Linked DNA regions of Arabidopsis thaliana. The protein of the gene in region 2 interacts with the protein of the main gene of each other region in a biochemical or structural test. Each region holds a gene or a part of one and is shown on either strand. Other genes may lie near its edges.

The links.
Region 1: the proteins of SNAP33 (region 2) and SYP111 form a complex in vitro, tested with the Arabidopsis thaliana proteins (one study listed by BioGRID).

The regions. Positions count from the first base shown.
Region 1 is NC_003070.9:2,707,928-2,715,303, forward strand, and holds SYP111 (syntaxin of plants 111), read right to left. Parts: upstream 3,074-7,376; 5' UTR 2,883-3,073; intron 2,793-2,882; 5' UTR 2,784-2,792; coding exon 1,851-2,783; 3' UTR 1,598-1,850; downstream 1-1,597. Other genes in the region: NPQ1 (non-photochemical quenching 1), read left to right, coding at 260-356, 461-855, 947-1,460; ACHT4 (atypical CYS HIS rich thioredoxin 4), read left to right, coding at 5,132-5,368, 5,620-5,796, 5,882-6,046, 6,137-6,385; AT1G08580 (uncharacterized protein), read right to left, coding at 7,369-7,376. UniProt on the Arabidopsis thaliana protein: Involved in cytokinesis. Acts as a cell plate-specific syntaxin, required for the fusion of vesicles at the plane of cell division.
Region 2 is NC_003076.8:24,619,323-24,627,791, reverse strand, and holds SNAP33 (soluble N-ethylmaleimide-sensitive factor adaptor protein 33), read right to left. Parts: upstream 4,545-8,469; 5' UTR 4,269-4,544; exon of another isoform or gene 4,049-4,268; intron 3,845-4,048; 5' UTR 3,766-3,844; coding exon 3,286-3,765; intron 3,153-3,285; coding exon 3,059-3,152; intron 2,967-3,058; coding exon 2,836-2,966; exon of another isoform or gene 2,624-2,835; coding exon 2,426-2,623; 3' UTR 2,161-2,425; downstream 1-2,160. Other genes in the region: AT5G61220 (LYR family of Fe/S cluster biogenesis protein), read left to right, coding at 1,472-1,735; AT5G61200 (myosin heavy chain-like protein), read right to left, coding at 5,711-5,767, 5,862-6,029, 6,131-6,795, 6,875-6,977, 7,064-7,123, 7,220-7,336; AT5G61190 (putative endonuclease or glycosyl hydrolase with C2H2-type zinc finger domain-containing protein), read right to left, coding at 7,906-8,128, 8,242-8,469. UniProt on the Arabidopsis thaliana protein: t-SNARE involved in diverse vesicle trafficking and membrane fusion processes, including cell plate formation. May function in the secretory pathway.

The DNA.
Region 1 (7,376 bases), on a different chromosome or scaffold from region 2:
TTCCTTCGTTTGGATTCTGCATATATAGTGTCCCCCCACCAAAACCGGTTTTATTTTCATTGTGATTGTGATGCTATAAGTGTTTTGAATTGTATAGCTCCATACTCTTCAATTGTTGAGAATGTTAAAGCTAGATGAAGTTACTGTGTCTGTCTATGATAGAGCTGAAATCAGTTGATGATATCTTTCTGATTTTTTTGCCGTCAATTTATATATTTCCCTCCTTGTCTGACCATATGGAAGCCCAATTATCTGTTAGGATAGAACTCGCAAAGTGCATTGCCAACCCTGCCTGTGCAGCCAATGTCGCGTGCCTTCAGACCTGCAATAACCGTCCAGATGAAACCGAGTGCCAGGTTATAATTTATTTTGATATATCATTTTATGAGGCAGAGATATTGCTTGCTTATGAAAGAAGACCAATGATTTTGTTTATAATTATGTGCTTATATTATATCAGATTAAATGTGGGGATCTGTTTGAGAACAGTGTTGTTGATGAGTTCAACGAGTGTGCTGTGTCGAGAAAAAAGTGTGTTCCTAGAAAATCTGATCTCGGAGAATTTCCTGCCCCAGACCCTTCTGTTCTTGTACAGAACTTCAACATCTCGGACTTTAACGGGAAGTGGTACATTACAAGTGGCTTGAATCCAACCTTTGATGCCTTCGACTGCCAGCTGCATGAGTTCCACACAGAAGGTGACAACAAGCTTGTTGGAAACATCTCTTGGAGAATAAAGACCCTAGACAGTGGATTCTTTACTAGGTCAGCCGTACAAAAATTCGTGCAAGATCCTAACCAACCTGGTGTTCTCTACAATCATGACAACGAGTACCTTCACTATCAAGATGACTGGTAATAACATCTTGTATCCACCCACGAGGGAGAGTCTTGATAGTGCTGCTATTCTTCTTTGGCCTAACAAGCTTTCATATGATTTTTGCAGGTATATCCTGTCATCAAAGATAGAGAATAAACCTGAAGACTATATATTTGTATACTACCGTGGGCGAAACGATGCTTGGGATGGATATGGTGGTGCAGTTGTATACACGAGAAGTTCTGTATTACCCAATAGCATTATACCAGAACTCGAAAAAGCAGCAAAAAGCATAGGCAGAGACTTCAGCACATTCATTAGAACGGATAACACATGTGGTCCTGAACCTGCGCTCGTGGAGAGAATTGAGAAGACAGTGGAAGAAGGTGAAAGGATAATCGTAAAAGAGGTTGAAGAGATAGAAGAAGAGGTAGAGAAGGAAGTGGAGAAGGTCGGTAGGACTGAGATGACCTTGTTCCAGAGATTGGCTGAAGGATTTAATGAACTGAAGCAAGACGAGGAGAATTTCGTGAGAGAGTTAAGTAAAGAAGAGATGGAGTTTTTGGATGAGATCAAAATGGAAGCAAGTGAGGTTGAAAAATTGTTTGGGAAAGCTTTGCCAATCAGGAAGGTCAGGTAGAAACAAGAACCACCATTGTTGTACAAACTATATTATACATACTGTGTTCGGTTCATATAAAGTAATATTTTTGTACACAGTCATCATCATTCCATAACAATTGGATACAGAAAACACAAGGATTAAACATCCTTTGAGCGAAACAAACAACGATTGGTAAACATAGTACCTCAAGAAGAGCTGAAAGTGTTAACAATGGGGATGACAACATTTAGAATGATCAAGAGGATTAAGTCAACTGGGTATCTTTGTAAACATTCACCATTTCATTGAAATTGGATACAAGACACGAAAGGATTAAGACATCCTTGAAGAACACAAAAGGATTAAGACATCCATTGGTACAAAGAAGAGCGAAACAAAACAAAAGGAGTGAACATAGCCAGTATCTCAAGAAGAGCTGAAACTGGTAATGATGGGGATGACAACAATGAGAATGATCAAAAGCAGCACAATGATACCAATGCACATCCATTTTCTGCTGTTTCTCTGATGACTCTTTGCAGTCTTCAGCTCATTAGCTCCATCAGCCACGTAATGGCTCGCATTAATCACATGATGCTCGATCTCGTCCATCTGTTCACCTTGCGATTCAACCATCACAGCCATATCAAGAAACACTTGGTGAAGCTCCAACAGACTCTTCTCAATCTCCTTTGCTGCATCATACCTGTCTTGAATCTCAACCACAGTTTCCAAGACCTTTCCTTTACCATGTTCCTGAATTGCTCGCGTGAGAAACTCTTCACCTCCAGCGTTATCAGTGATGATCTTCTCAATCATCTCATCATTAGCATGTTCTCCAGTGACAGTGAAGTACCTTCTCTCAACAGTCTCCTTGTACTCACTCATCATCTTTTGCCTCAGCCCCTGAAACTCCATCATCACTTCCTTAAGTTTCTTCCTCAGCCCATTAGTCACAGCGGTTCTGCTCCTATAAACCGGAGTCCCAGAGAGCCTTTTAATCTCCTTGTTGGCTTTATCCATCTCTTCCAGCTTCGACTTAATCGATTTCGCCTTCCTCAAACCAGACACAATCTCGTTAGAGATCTTGTTACGAAGAGACTTCACAGACTCTGCCTTGTGAACACCTTTACTCTCTTCATGGTACTGTTCGATCCGAGCCAGCGTCTCACTAATCAAACCCATCTCTGCTTTCACATACTCTGCTTCTTCTAAGAAAGATGACAGATTCTCATCCATCTTGTCTGCTTTCGTAGAAGCCATCTCAAGATCAAAGTCAGGTCCTGCTTCCATATCCTTCATCGCTGCTTTTTTCAAGTCAACGTAACTCATAAACGATTTCGTCATCAAGTCGTTCATCTTTTTCACCTGAAAGTCAACAATTTTACAAGAATCAGAGAGAATCGCAGTGATTGTAACAGAATCAAACAAGAGAAAATCAAAGAAAATACAACATACTCTTCTGATTAGTGTGTTCTTCTAGATCCACAAAGTTTCTGCCCAGAAAGTGAGAGAGTAGTGTGAAGTAAAGCTTACTATAGAATTTGATTAGCGATTTGTGAGATGAGAGAAAGCTTTCTTTCTAATATAAGAAAAAGGAGAAATTAGCCGTTACTGTGATTTCTTCGCCCCAACGGCTATATTTTGGCGATGTATCCGTTGTCGTCCATTTGTCTATCTGTTTCTGTTTCTTCAAATCTATTTTTAAATTCATGTGAATTTCTTTCGAAACTTTAAAATAATATAGGGACTAAATTGTAATTAGATGTATGTTTTAGTGCCGACGTGTGTGATTGAGACAGCTTTAAAGATATCGAAACTGAGAAGAAAATATAGGGACTAAATTGTAATTATGTGTATGACATCGCTTTTGTCGACAAATCATCATTGGTGACGATTTACGAAAGCAAAGAAGAGGTGTTCTTAGCTGCACATTTGTCACCATTTATACAAAAATTGTGGTTCTTGTGTTTTGTTTTTTATGTTGGAAAACTTATGGTATAGTTTCTTTTGTTACGATACACCTTAGTTGAACCATTCAAATTATTAGGATATTTTCAAATATATAATATTTTAATTCTAATTTCGTATGTAAACGACTCTCCAATAAAACATCTCCACTAGCTTGTTGGTCTCTAAACTTGAAATCAGTTTTTATTTTTCTTGTAATATTTTCAAAATTGTTTCAATATCGTAGACAAATTTTAAATAAAATGTACATCATATCTCTATAAACTTAATAATACCCAAAATTTTGACTAATCACATTAAATTCCTTATGATATTCGAATAAAAAAATAATTTAATAATATTTATTGTAGTCGCAATTCAATATTTATTCTGTAATGCTTGAAAAATGTTTTTAAAAACTGTGTCACTACATTACTATAACGTTAGTATGTACTAAATTTTGTAACGTTTCATGGTTATAAAATAGTATTAGTTTACCGACAAAAATATATAGATTACGTAACGCTTGTTTTACATTAAAACAAATTTGTTAGGATTGTTTTGTCTATTCTACATTCGTCACATTTGTTTTGTTTAAACTTTTTGTTTTCTAATTAAAAAATTATTCTGTTTTTGTAATTAAATATAGTAAATTTGTTTGCCGCCCAAAAAAATATTACATAACGCTTGTTTTACATTAAAATAAAGTTGCTTCGATTGTTTTGGCTGTTCAACTCTAGTCACATTTGTTACGTTTGTTCTACTTATTGTCGTGAATCGATCGAAAACTTGTGCAATGTGGAATTGAGGGGGTTAGATGTAAACCAAAAAACTAAAAAGGGCAATCTCCAATTATTTTGTTAAAGAGGTGGCAATTGCAAATCTCCAATAATATAAAGTTCATAAAAAAGGTTAAAGGAGAGAGTTGTGGTGGAGAGAGTGAGACCCACGTGGGTGATGTGTTGGCAAACTATCTTCCTTAAAATCCAAATCCATTTATCCATCACTACTTTTTTTTCTTTTGTTTGGTAGTAAAATCCTTCACTAGTTGATTGCAGATGACTAATAAAGTAATAATCTTTCATTTTGGTGGTTCATCGCCTAATTTGTTGTTTACTTGATTGATAAATGTTTGAGGATGAAACTGTATCATTTATTTTTCTCAAAATTGTTTGGTTCATGACCTATATAATCCATTTGTTTAATATTAATATAGGTAAATTTAAAATTCGTTACTTAAATTGGCTAAACATACTCTTCAAAATAATATATATCCACTTAACATAGTTAAAACTCTGTATTCAGATAAAAGCATGGTAAAAAACCAAACATATCCATTTAAATGTATTCAAAGTCATGAGAAAATTTCCTATACTTGTTCCTTTATATCTGCGAGAAGTCATGAACCTTATCCATTTATTAGTTTTCTTCTGACCGACTAAACCTGATAATCACTAATCCACCGTTAGATCTTAAAATTCCAAATCCAAAATGGACGGTCAAGATCACTTAACGAAAAAGAAAACAGTTTCCTGTCCAGAAATGTCTAACCTTGAGGCCTTTTTCTCTTTCCTTTAAACTTTTTTTTTTCGATTATAAATTTTCTCGTGAAGCTAATTTTTCCTGAGAAAGAAAGCGAAACTTCGCTGGCGACTAAAGATTGCTGAGAAGACACGTCGTCTCTGTGAGAACTTTTTCTTTTTCTTCTGGTATATTCTGGAGACAGATATTGTTTTTTCTTCTGATTAGAGAATAATATGACGGAAGTGATTAGCAAAACGAGTTTGTTCTTAGGAGCTTGTGGTAATCATCACCGTGTTGATGATTTCTCTTTCTCTCCGGTGAGTTTTGGTGGGTTTGGTTTGAAAAAGAGTTTCTCTTGTCTGAAGCTTAAGAGTCAGAAGCCTCTTAGAAGTGTATTTTACGGAAAACAGATCGTTTTCGGAGATTCTCAAGACGAGAGCTTCAGAAGATCATCAGCTATCACAGCTCAGGTAGACTTTAATGTTTTGTGTTTTCGTTTTTGTTTATCTGAAATATTATAATCCATTACATGCGAGATCTAATTAGAAAGATCCTGAGAGCTAATTGTTGAAAGAATAGTTTTTTAGGGTTTTGCTTTAATTTTGTTGTGAATTATTGGCTTGAAGAGTAGATTTTGGTTTAGGGTTCATGTGTTTTCAATTTGATGTGTTGGTTTTATGGATCTGTGAAAATATGATATCTGACATGTGTAAATTTGCAGACAACTTTGAGGATTGGGACAGCTCAGAAGTGGTGGGAGAAAGGTCTGAAAGATAACATGAGAGAGATCTCTTCAGCTCAAGAGCTCGTTGATTCTCTTACTAACGCTGGTGATAAGCTTGTTGTTGTTGATTTCTTCTCACCTGGCTGTGGTGGCTGCAAGGCTCTCCATCCTAAGGTATCAATCCACTTCTTGGATTGTTTGGTACAGTATTGATGAAATGAACAAGTTTTCTAACAATGATGGTTTATGATTGTTGCAGATATGTCAGTTTGCAGAGATGAACCCGGATGTGCAGTTTCTTCAGGTGAATTACGAGGAGCATAAGTCCATGTGTTATAGTCTTGGTGTCCATGTTCTCCCTTTTTTCCGATTCTACCGTGGCTCTCAGGGTCGTGTTTGCAGCTTTAGCTGTACCAATGCCACGGTTCGTTCTCATTCTTATAATCCATGAGACAATCAATGAAAAAACCATCTTAGGTTCGATTTTGATCTTGATTTGTTTTATCTGTTTCAGATCAAGAAATTCAGAGATGCCTTGGCAAAGCATGGTCCAGATAGGTGCAGCCTCGGACCGACCAAAGGCCTTGAAGAGAAAGAGCTTGTGGCACTTGCAGCCAACAAAGAACTCAACTTTACTTACACACCAAAGCCTGTACCAGTTGAGAAAGAAGCAGCCACTCCTGATTCAAACCCAAGTCTCCCTGTTCCTCTTCCTTCGATGAGCTCCAATGACGAAAAAACATTGGTCTCCGCAGGGAGATGAGACTGAATAAACATTTCCCTGTATAGTTTGCGTGATAGTAGTAGTAGCAGCAGCTGGATATATTGCAGTACCTAAAGATGTCAGTTCTCGGAGCAGCCAGCCGGTTTAGTGGGGTTTAGTTTTTTTTCGGGTCCCCTGAGCAAAATCGGTTCTTGGCCTCTGGGTTTACCTAGAGCAAAACCAGTTCCGATGGTTACTTGAGTTTTGCTCAGTTCTTATGGGATTGGAGTGGAAGGTCGTGCGCTCGGCAGCATGGAAGCTTTCTCCTTTCAATCAGCTTCAGTAGAGTTTTGGTTTCTTTGTTTGTTTTTTATTTGCTTTAAGAATTTAATGTAAATAAAAATCCAATGAGGATTATCATACAATGTCATGAAGGATCTATGAATTAGTATCTAATGTTAGTATATATTATGGTTTTTCCTAAGTTGGTACTTTCTCTGTTTGAAGTTTGATTATCATACATGTATTTGTTATGGTCCTCTCTTCAACATCTTTAGAATAAAACATATAAGATCTGCAAGGGCTTCAGATTTCTGTAGTGTGGTTAGTCTCTTGGGACATTACGTTACCATAGGACTAACGTCGACTATATTAACGTCACCTAGAAAAAGCTCTAGGATTAATGGTACTTTTTTAGTTTGGATTAGTGGTACTTTAACTTGGTTAATTTTGCTGTTTCAGTGAGAGAAAGGAAAATTGAGTTGGGTTTTTATCAAATTGCTCCATATTCTAACTCTCCGTCAAAGGCACCACATACCAGAAAGAATGAATACAAAATATGATATTTTGATAAGACAAAAATTAGATTGAGAAATTAAAGGATTCGGAAAACTTAAATAAAATCATATCAAACCCTCCATTCCTCTGCTTCGCATCCTCCGGATGCAAAAACACACGTTTCACATTTTTGAAAGAATCTAACCAGACATTGAGAAACCTCTATCATCCGTTAGAAGAAATGGGTTTACAGGTATACACGACACTCATTCTA
Region 2 (8,469 bases):
TGACCTTACCAAACCTATCAACAAAAGATGGAGAAGAAAACCAAATTAGTGAAAACCAGATGAACACAACAAAAATGCTATAAATTTCTCTGTAATATAAATAACACAACAATCCAGCTCGTGTAGAGTTTCAAAAGTTCATTCAGAATCCAATTACGACACTTGTAGTCTCTAATATTGGCAAATCTACAAACAATACAATAGAATCAGAAAAAATACCCTCACAGAGACAAAATCAATCGAATCAAGGGGGAACTAACGAGTACAAATTTTAATCATCGATCACCAATCAAGTCAGCTACAAATTACACATGAATCAGAACAAATCACAGAAAAACATTGACGAAATAAGAATCCAACGATGAATCCGAAACGAAAAAGAGAAAAATCAATCTCGACACGCAAGGATTTTCACACATACTTATGAACACAAGGAATCGAAAAGTTTGAGAGGCTCGTACCGTAACCCAGCGAGGAGATAGAGATAGAGAAATGGTGAAACCAAGCTCAGAGATAAAAATTTACTTCTCGCCAGAGAGATCGGAGTTTTTTCGCAGTAGGGTTTTCTCGTCGAGATAAGAGAGAATCGAATTCGTGTAGAGAAGGAAGAAGGCGTGACAGAGAATGATAAATATCGGTTTTGTTTACTATTTCTTGTCGAATATGCCAGCTCATACACCTTCATTAAAAAAGGCTGGCTTATCACATATTGGCCCAATTTAACAGGCCTTTGTGTCTAGCCCATTCTAAAACCGGTTCTTTTCTTACTCAATCTAAAATTGATCCGGTTCCCAAATCAGTTTTCCCGGTTTAGTTTTGGGTAAACCTAAAAGTTTATTTATTCCCCCGAACGACCCAGCTTGCTGCTATCAAAACCTTCGAACGGAGAACTTCAACGGCGAGCTCGGGAAATTAATACTCTCCGACGATTTGATTCGGTATGTATATGTATCTGGAGCTCGTTATCGTCAAATTCTATGCTTATCGGATCCTCTCATGATTCAGATGTATTGTCTCTTTTGGCTGTGACTGCAATTTCATCCATTTTACTGAAGTTTAGGATTACTAAGTGCGTTTATGGCCTTTTAAGGTTTCTTCTTGATTGTTTTAAGCGTTTGCGATTAGTTAATATTGGTTCTTTTGCGTATTTTCATGAACTCTAGTGCCTAGTTTCTAATGTTGCAGCAACTGGTTCTCATACCTTATATACACTACTCAAATCAATACTTATCTATATACTAATGTTACTGAATCTAGGTTCTTTTGCTCTATAAATGATGTACTGGTCCTTAATACTTTTCACTTATCTATATAACTTCTTGTTACATGTCGAAGTGTATAGCTTTATCCCTTGATCATCTTGACTACTTCTCTTCCTTTTCGGCATTGCTAATCTCAGCTTCTTTGTGTTCTTATACTGATTGCAGTTAACCAGGCTTTGTATAATTAAGGGTTAGTTTCCAATCTTGCAATGGTGTCTAGTAGTGAAGTTCTTAGCCTATGTCGTGCCTTGCTTCGAGCGGGACGTCAATTCCCTGATTACAACATTAGGGAGTACAGTAAGCGAAGGACCTTGGATGGCTTCCGCATGAACAAGAATCTCACTGACCCATCGAAGGTGACTGAGGCTTATGCTGAAGCTAAAAAACAGCTTTTTGTTGCTGAGAGAGTGCTCAAGGTTTACTTGGCATATCCTCCCAAGACCAAGAACATCATGGAAGTCAAGCTTCAGTAGATGTATGTTTGTCATTACAATATCCTCCAAAGCTATTTGTTTTTAATGGTCATGTTGGAGCCACTTTATATTCATTGATTGTCGAGTTTGTGGCTTGAGAATATGATTCGGGAACAAGTGGTGTTTGTATGAGATTATTATTTCCTCTATTCATAGTTCTTTCCAACTATGTCAGATTGCTTTGTCTAGTTCTCATTAGTAGTCTTTGTGTTTTATGGCTTCAGACATTATACAAGTGAAGAAGAGGACATTGTGGAATATATCCCTTGGATTGTAGCTGAGGAAGACTAAAGGGAATGAAGAGTTCCTGGTTTTTTTGTTCTTTTGAATAATCTCACATGATTGTGCAGTTGTTGCATAACATATGTTCCAACTTGTCTGGAGTTTCTGTATTCTTATGTCGTATTCTAGCACTGATATTTTTAGGTTATAAATCTGAGATTAAAACTCATAATTTCATCTATTATCAGAATTTCTTGAGAAAGCTTTATGATACAGATAAAAACGATACCAAAGTTGCTTCTGTTTGATCAATAAGTTTTTTGGTTTTTTGTCACAAGATCAAATACAAACACAGATAGCAATAATGTATTTAACATGATAAGAATCTTTCCAGTTTTAAAGAACAACTTCATAGAGAATAAAACAAACGAGGAATGAGTGTAATGAACATATAAACCCTCTGTTCATCTACTTTCCAAGCAAACGGCGACCACGTTGGTTTGATTGTTGCACTCTGAAGTTGAGTTCGTCAACATCATCATGAAGATGGTCAAGTCCTTTGTTCTGCTTCTCGATTTCGCTTCCCATGTCAACAGCCATGTTCTTTAGCTCGCCGAGTATATCACTCAAGTCTGAAAGCCCATCGTCTTGCTTAGCTTTTTCCATCTGTAATAAACCAGTATTAAGTTTAGTGGCGTCCAAAACACATGTTTTTCACTCAGATATATATGCTCATCATTGATGAGTCATCAATGTCTCAAATTGTTAGCATTACAGGACCACAGATAAAGAGTTCATGCATCACTCATATCAGATGCAGGAGTATAGTAATGTTCTTATGAAAGGAAAAATTGAAGAGAGGGAAGAGAAGTCCAAACCTCCACTCTCTGATAAGCATCAGCTGATTCGGGGAGTGGTTCTCGGGTTCTTGATTGTCCTCTGGGTGCTGAGTTCAGTCCCAGTTTTTCCCTTTTCTCTAAGTGGTTAACTCTTCTCGTTGGTGAGTCATCTAAGCAAAAACACAAAATAAAGGATTCAGCAATTAGGTGAAAGTAAAATAGCTGCGAGAAGAATTGAGATATCAATGACCAAGAAGCAAACCTCTGGTTACGACGGGACCATTTATAGGACGAGTCTTCTTTGGTTTCCAAGTCTTTGAAAACATGCCTCCAAGGCTTCCAAGAAGTTTCTCACCCTGAAAACCAAAAATCCAACTAGTTTCAGCATCAAATGTCTACCGTCTTCTTATCTCACACCAACTAATGTCCTCAGAAAAAGATTGAATGTTTCCATTTTATAATCAAGAACCAGAAGGAAGAAAAACTCACACGACTGAGATCATGGTCGATTTCAACGGCTTTATGGTGCGTCCTAGTGATTTGCTCGCCCTGATCGTGTAACATGACCAAAGTTCTGGTAGCATCAGACCTTATATCTTCTGCTACCTTCAAACAACCTTGTACAGATTTCGTAGTCTCTTCAGCCTTGTACACAGCATAACCTTCAAGCTCCTGAACCGACTGGTTTTCAATACCACCAGAATCACGGAAATTGTTCTTGTACTGGTATTTGGAGTTCGAAAACAATGACTGTTTGGATGAACTACTATCTCCTTTCTGAACTCTCTCACCACCAAAAGGGTTTGTCATATCAGCCAAAGAGGGTTCAGAGGTAGTCCTCTTAGAAGGGTTAAGGGTATGTTTGTTGTCAGATTCATCATCTGAATCGAAAGGATTTGGCTTGGAAGACTTGAGGTCGACTGAGTTATGCTTGGGAAGATTTGCCGGTGATTTCCTTAAACCAAACATTGTCTCTCAGGATAATATCACAAAGCTTGTTGCTTCAAACAAAAGGAACACTTGGATTGGTTACTACTAATAAACCTTCCTGCAGAAACCAAAACAGTAATCAGGATTGATGCTTTGATTCTAACTTGTAAGCTAAGAGAAAAGTTGATCAAATCAAAGGTATAGATAAAGTAAAGCAACAAGTCAAAAACGTAGCATCGAATGATTTCACTTCTAAGAACAATTTAAACGATAACATAAGACGAGACCAAAAAGTATAAGTTTTAGTTAATCAATTTTAAACCTAATTTTGGGCATAATTGAGTATATGTAGCGGCTAAAGAACCCAAGACTATGAAAACCACACACAAAATTCGCTTAATTATTTCGATAATTCTCTCTGGAACGAAACAATCGCAGAAGAGGAACGGAACAAATCGAAAGCCCAGGATCTAGCAGACGGAAATTGAGAAGAAAGGAACTGAGAATTTTGAAGCAAAAGATAGAGAGCAGATTGTGGTTACCTGGATGAGCGAAGTGGAGTCCGTGAAGAAGAAGATGGAGAAGATGAAGATTAGGTTCTTAATGAATAGAATAGAAGAGGAAGGAGGACCAAATCAATGCGAAGAAGAAGAAGAAAGGAAGAAAGGATCAAAAAGGGAAAAGATTTAACGCGGAGACGACTCAGAACGACCCAAGAATTTGAGAGTACAACAAGGAGGTCTTTGGGTATGTGTTGACGAAAATTTATCAAGGAGATTAAAAAAAAAACAAATTGTAGAAAGGAACGTGGATCAATTAATAAATAAAACAAAATCATTTAATTCAAATCTAAAACGGTCATATATATAATTCTTTTTTTTTCTAGATCAAACTTCTAAAAAAGTAAAAAGTAACTACTTTCTAACGAAAATAGAGCAATTTAGATCTTTTTAATTGTATATAGGACGTAATTGTGGATATAATAAACGTAGTTGGATTTTTTCTTACAGAGAAAGAGTCATTTTCTTATATTTTTCTAATTTCTGCTTCTTTTTTTGTACTGATGGTTTAGTTGATAAATTGTATGAGCCCAAAAAGAATGGGTAAGTTGTCAATTTTGTCATCCAAAAAGAATGGTCTTTGTTGAATTTGTCAAAGAGAACATATTTTCGCCCAAAACCAAAAACTACTTGAAGATAGAAAATTGTTTGACAATATCTATGGATATGATCATGCCTAATTTATCTCATTAATTTTTATTTGTTACCGGTTACATTGATAACGACTACAACAAAATCTTGATGTCCTAGTAGATACGATATTTCAACATATCATTTTGGTGAAGAACAAGTTGGAATATGTTTTTGCTTAAAGTCAAGTTGGATTAGGTTAGACAACAAATCTACAAGTGTCTTGATTAACAATAAAGACAACAGGTTCTTTTCCTTGACCCATTCATTTATCCCTTTGCATCAACAACAAGGTTACTAGACTCTGCACATACATGATGATACAACAACGCTTCCAGATTTCTTTATTTTCACAAGAAAAAGAAGAACAATAAAAGAGAGAAAAACGGGCCATCAAATAAACTCAGCCTTATTGACCTAGGCTCATTACAGGCCTATCAAATAGAGTCAAATAGTAAGAATCTTCTTGGTCAACGACCACAGCTTTCAACATTCTCTAGAGACTCATGTCAATTTCTCAAGATCTCTACATGTTGCTGAAGGCGTAATTAAACACTTAGAAGCCACATGAAGAAGCAGTTTTTTTTTTTGGTAGGCACATGAAGAAGCAGTTTCACTCTTGTAAAACTCAATTTCCATATATAAACATAATCACAGGGATGAAATCTATATTCCAATTTCCAATCAAATTGGATTATGTACACTTTAAATACATAAGAATTCAAACCTTATAGCTTAAAGGCTTATTTGAGGCATTAACTGTGATTTCAAGTTTAACTCGAACCTTAGCTGGTTTATACAGCAGGAAGAGGAACTAAGCAAGTTGAGGACTTGTTCTTCTCTCTCTTGATCTTAACAAGAAAATGGATATTTGTTAGGTTCCTTCAACAATATCTGATGGCTCAAAAAAAATAAAAAAATTGGAAGATATAAAGAAGCAAGTACCTGTGCTTCTAGATTGGCTATTCTTTGTAATGATGCTTGTTCGATGCATGCACGCCGCTTGCATTCTTCCTCCAATAAACATGTCATTTCATATCTTAATTCAGCCATTTCTTGTGTTAAGTCCTCTGCTTCTTCCTTGGCCTTTAGTTTCTCTTCTTTCAACTCATCCTTAGGCATAACAAAATAATGGTTTAACTAGTTAGAATATGTGTGACGCTGCAAAAAGGCACCAAATTTTTGATTCTACTGTTTTGTTTGGTAACTAATACCTTGAGCTGCTTTACAAGATCTTTGTATTGAAGTATCTGTCTTGCCATATCTTCCATTTTGTCTCTCAGTTTCCCATCCTGGAAAACCTCTAATTTCTTGATGATGTCATGGAAACAATCTGGATTTACAGGCGCTTCACTTTCACTTTCCAACCTTCCTCTAAAGCTTTGACGTAAGTCTTTGATATTCCTTTCAGAGGCTACACATCTCTCCATCAGCTCCTTGTTTTGCTTCTCTAAACACTCAGCATTCTCTTCTGCCTCTCGAGAGTTCAACCGTAGCTCCTTGACTATTTCTCTTAACTTATCGTTTTCTTGGATGCTTTCACCTTGAAATTTCTGAGCATCAAAGAGCGCCTGCTCCAACGCTACTATATCAAGTTTTATGCTTTCTATCTCACACTGAGACTCCAATGTTAAGGATGAGACCGACTCCTCCAGCTTCTCAACAGAAAACAAAGAAAACTGTAGCTCAGTTTCTGTGCTCTCCAGTTCTTGCAACAACAATAGCTGCTCAGATTTCGACGAACACAACTCCTCCCTCAAATAGTTAACTTCTTCTTCCAATTTCCCTGATTTAGTTACTCTGACTTCAAGATCGAGTACATGTTCACTCAGGTCGTTCATTTCCTGGCTTCTGAAGTTTACTTGATCCCGCAAATAATCTGAAAGACAAAGAAAGTGTTTTTTAGCTCATATAAAATATATGCCTAGATTTCAGTTTCATGAGAATCTCTCCATTACCAATCTCCTGGTAGCAATTCAACAATTCTTTCTCCAACATCTGAATTCTTCTCTTATCTTCTAAACGAGACTCTGACAACGAATTCGCATTCAGTTCCAACCTCTAGGGTAAAAAAAAAAAAGACAACAAATCTCAGAAAAAGTTTGAACAATCAATTCACTAGTCTAAAACACACAAGAGGAACATACTCTGACAAGTTCAACACTCTGTGACTGAGATTCTCTAAGCATCTCCTTTTCTCTCCGTAGCTACAATTACAATGAAAACATGAGATCATAAAGCCAAAAATATGAACTTCATCAATCTCTGAGACAAAGGATATAGAGAAAGAAAAACAGATTCACCTCCATACATCTTGAACCAATCTGTAAAAGTTCGTCAGCATCAAACGAGTTGTCAACATCGCTTCTTGAACTACTTCCCGAGCTATCTCGCGAGCTACTTCCCCAATTACTCGACATTAAAAAAGACTAACAAATTTACACACAAGAGCTGAAAACTGGACCAAGAATACGAGTCATTAGCGACCAGAGACTATAAGAAAAAGAAAGAAAAACACATTCCGACGAACACAAGCATAGTCGTAGGAAAGCTTTACCTGGCCGGTGAAGAGTAATATTCCGACGACAATACTTGAACTGAATTTTCCAGTTTCCTTTTTATCTGCTTTAATTTAAACAAGAGAAGGAAGATCCGGATGGGTCGGGCCGGGTCGGATAAGTAATCAGGGTGGCCCAGTTGAGCTGTAGTCGTAAAGCAAATAATGCAATTTTTGATGATTACATTACAGACTAAGCCGAAAATTCTGTTGGAAAAACCGGTCGTTATTTCCCAATTTATTGAGAGAACCTATATACTACAATGCCTAAATTCTATTGTTCTTGAATCTTTTTTAAGAGGTAAAGTTTATATATAAGAAACAACAGTAAGAAATAAGCAAAAGCCAATCCAAAATAAAACGTTAATCTGCCATTCAAAAGAAAACATCCATTGTTGACAACTTAAACATGAATTAACAATTCACATTATTTTAATATTTTTTCCCCCAAAGGCGAGTCCAAAAGTTATCAGCTTGGCCCTTAATCTCTTCCCTTTTGGCAGCCTCTCCAGGAAGATCCTTGCGTCCTCCAGACTTGTTTTCGGCTTCCTGTGCTTTTGGTTCGGGTTTATGCTTCTGCTCATCTTCCAAATTCTTGGCCACATTCACGTTTGGTGGCAGTTTTACTCTCTCAGGAATCACATCTAAACATCCTCTGTAACCCAAAATCCAAGCAACCAGTTAGACACACACATATTGATCGAGATTCAAGAGAAAGAGAGAGAGAGAGAGACCATATTATACACTCCCATGAATGTTGGCTCTTACCTCGGTTCATTGGGTATTCTAGACTCTCGATTCTGTTCAGTGAAGACACGGTGCACCAAGTTCTCAGATACGGTGTGTCTCTCCTTCAGTTCCACTTTATCTTCTGGTGCCCCTCGAAACCCAAGATCATCCATCTTTACAAGTGTCTGCTCCTCTGTTGCTTCTTTTTCTTGATCGGTTTCTTCTCGGATTATCCTTGAGTCAATACTGAACTGCTCCAGTGCTTCT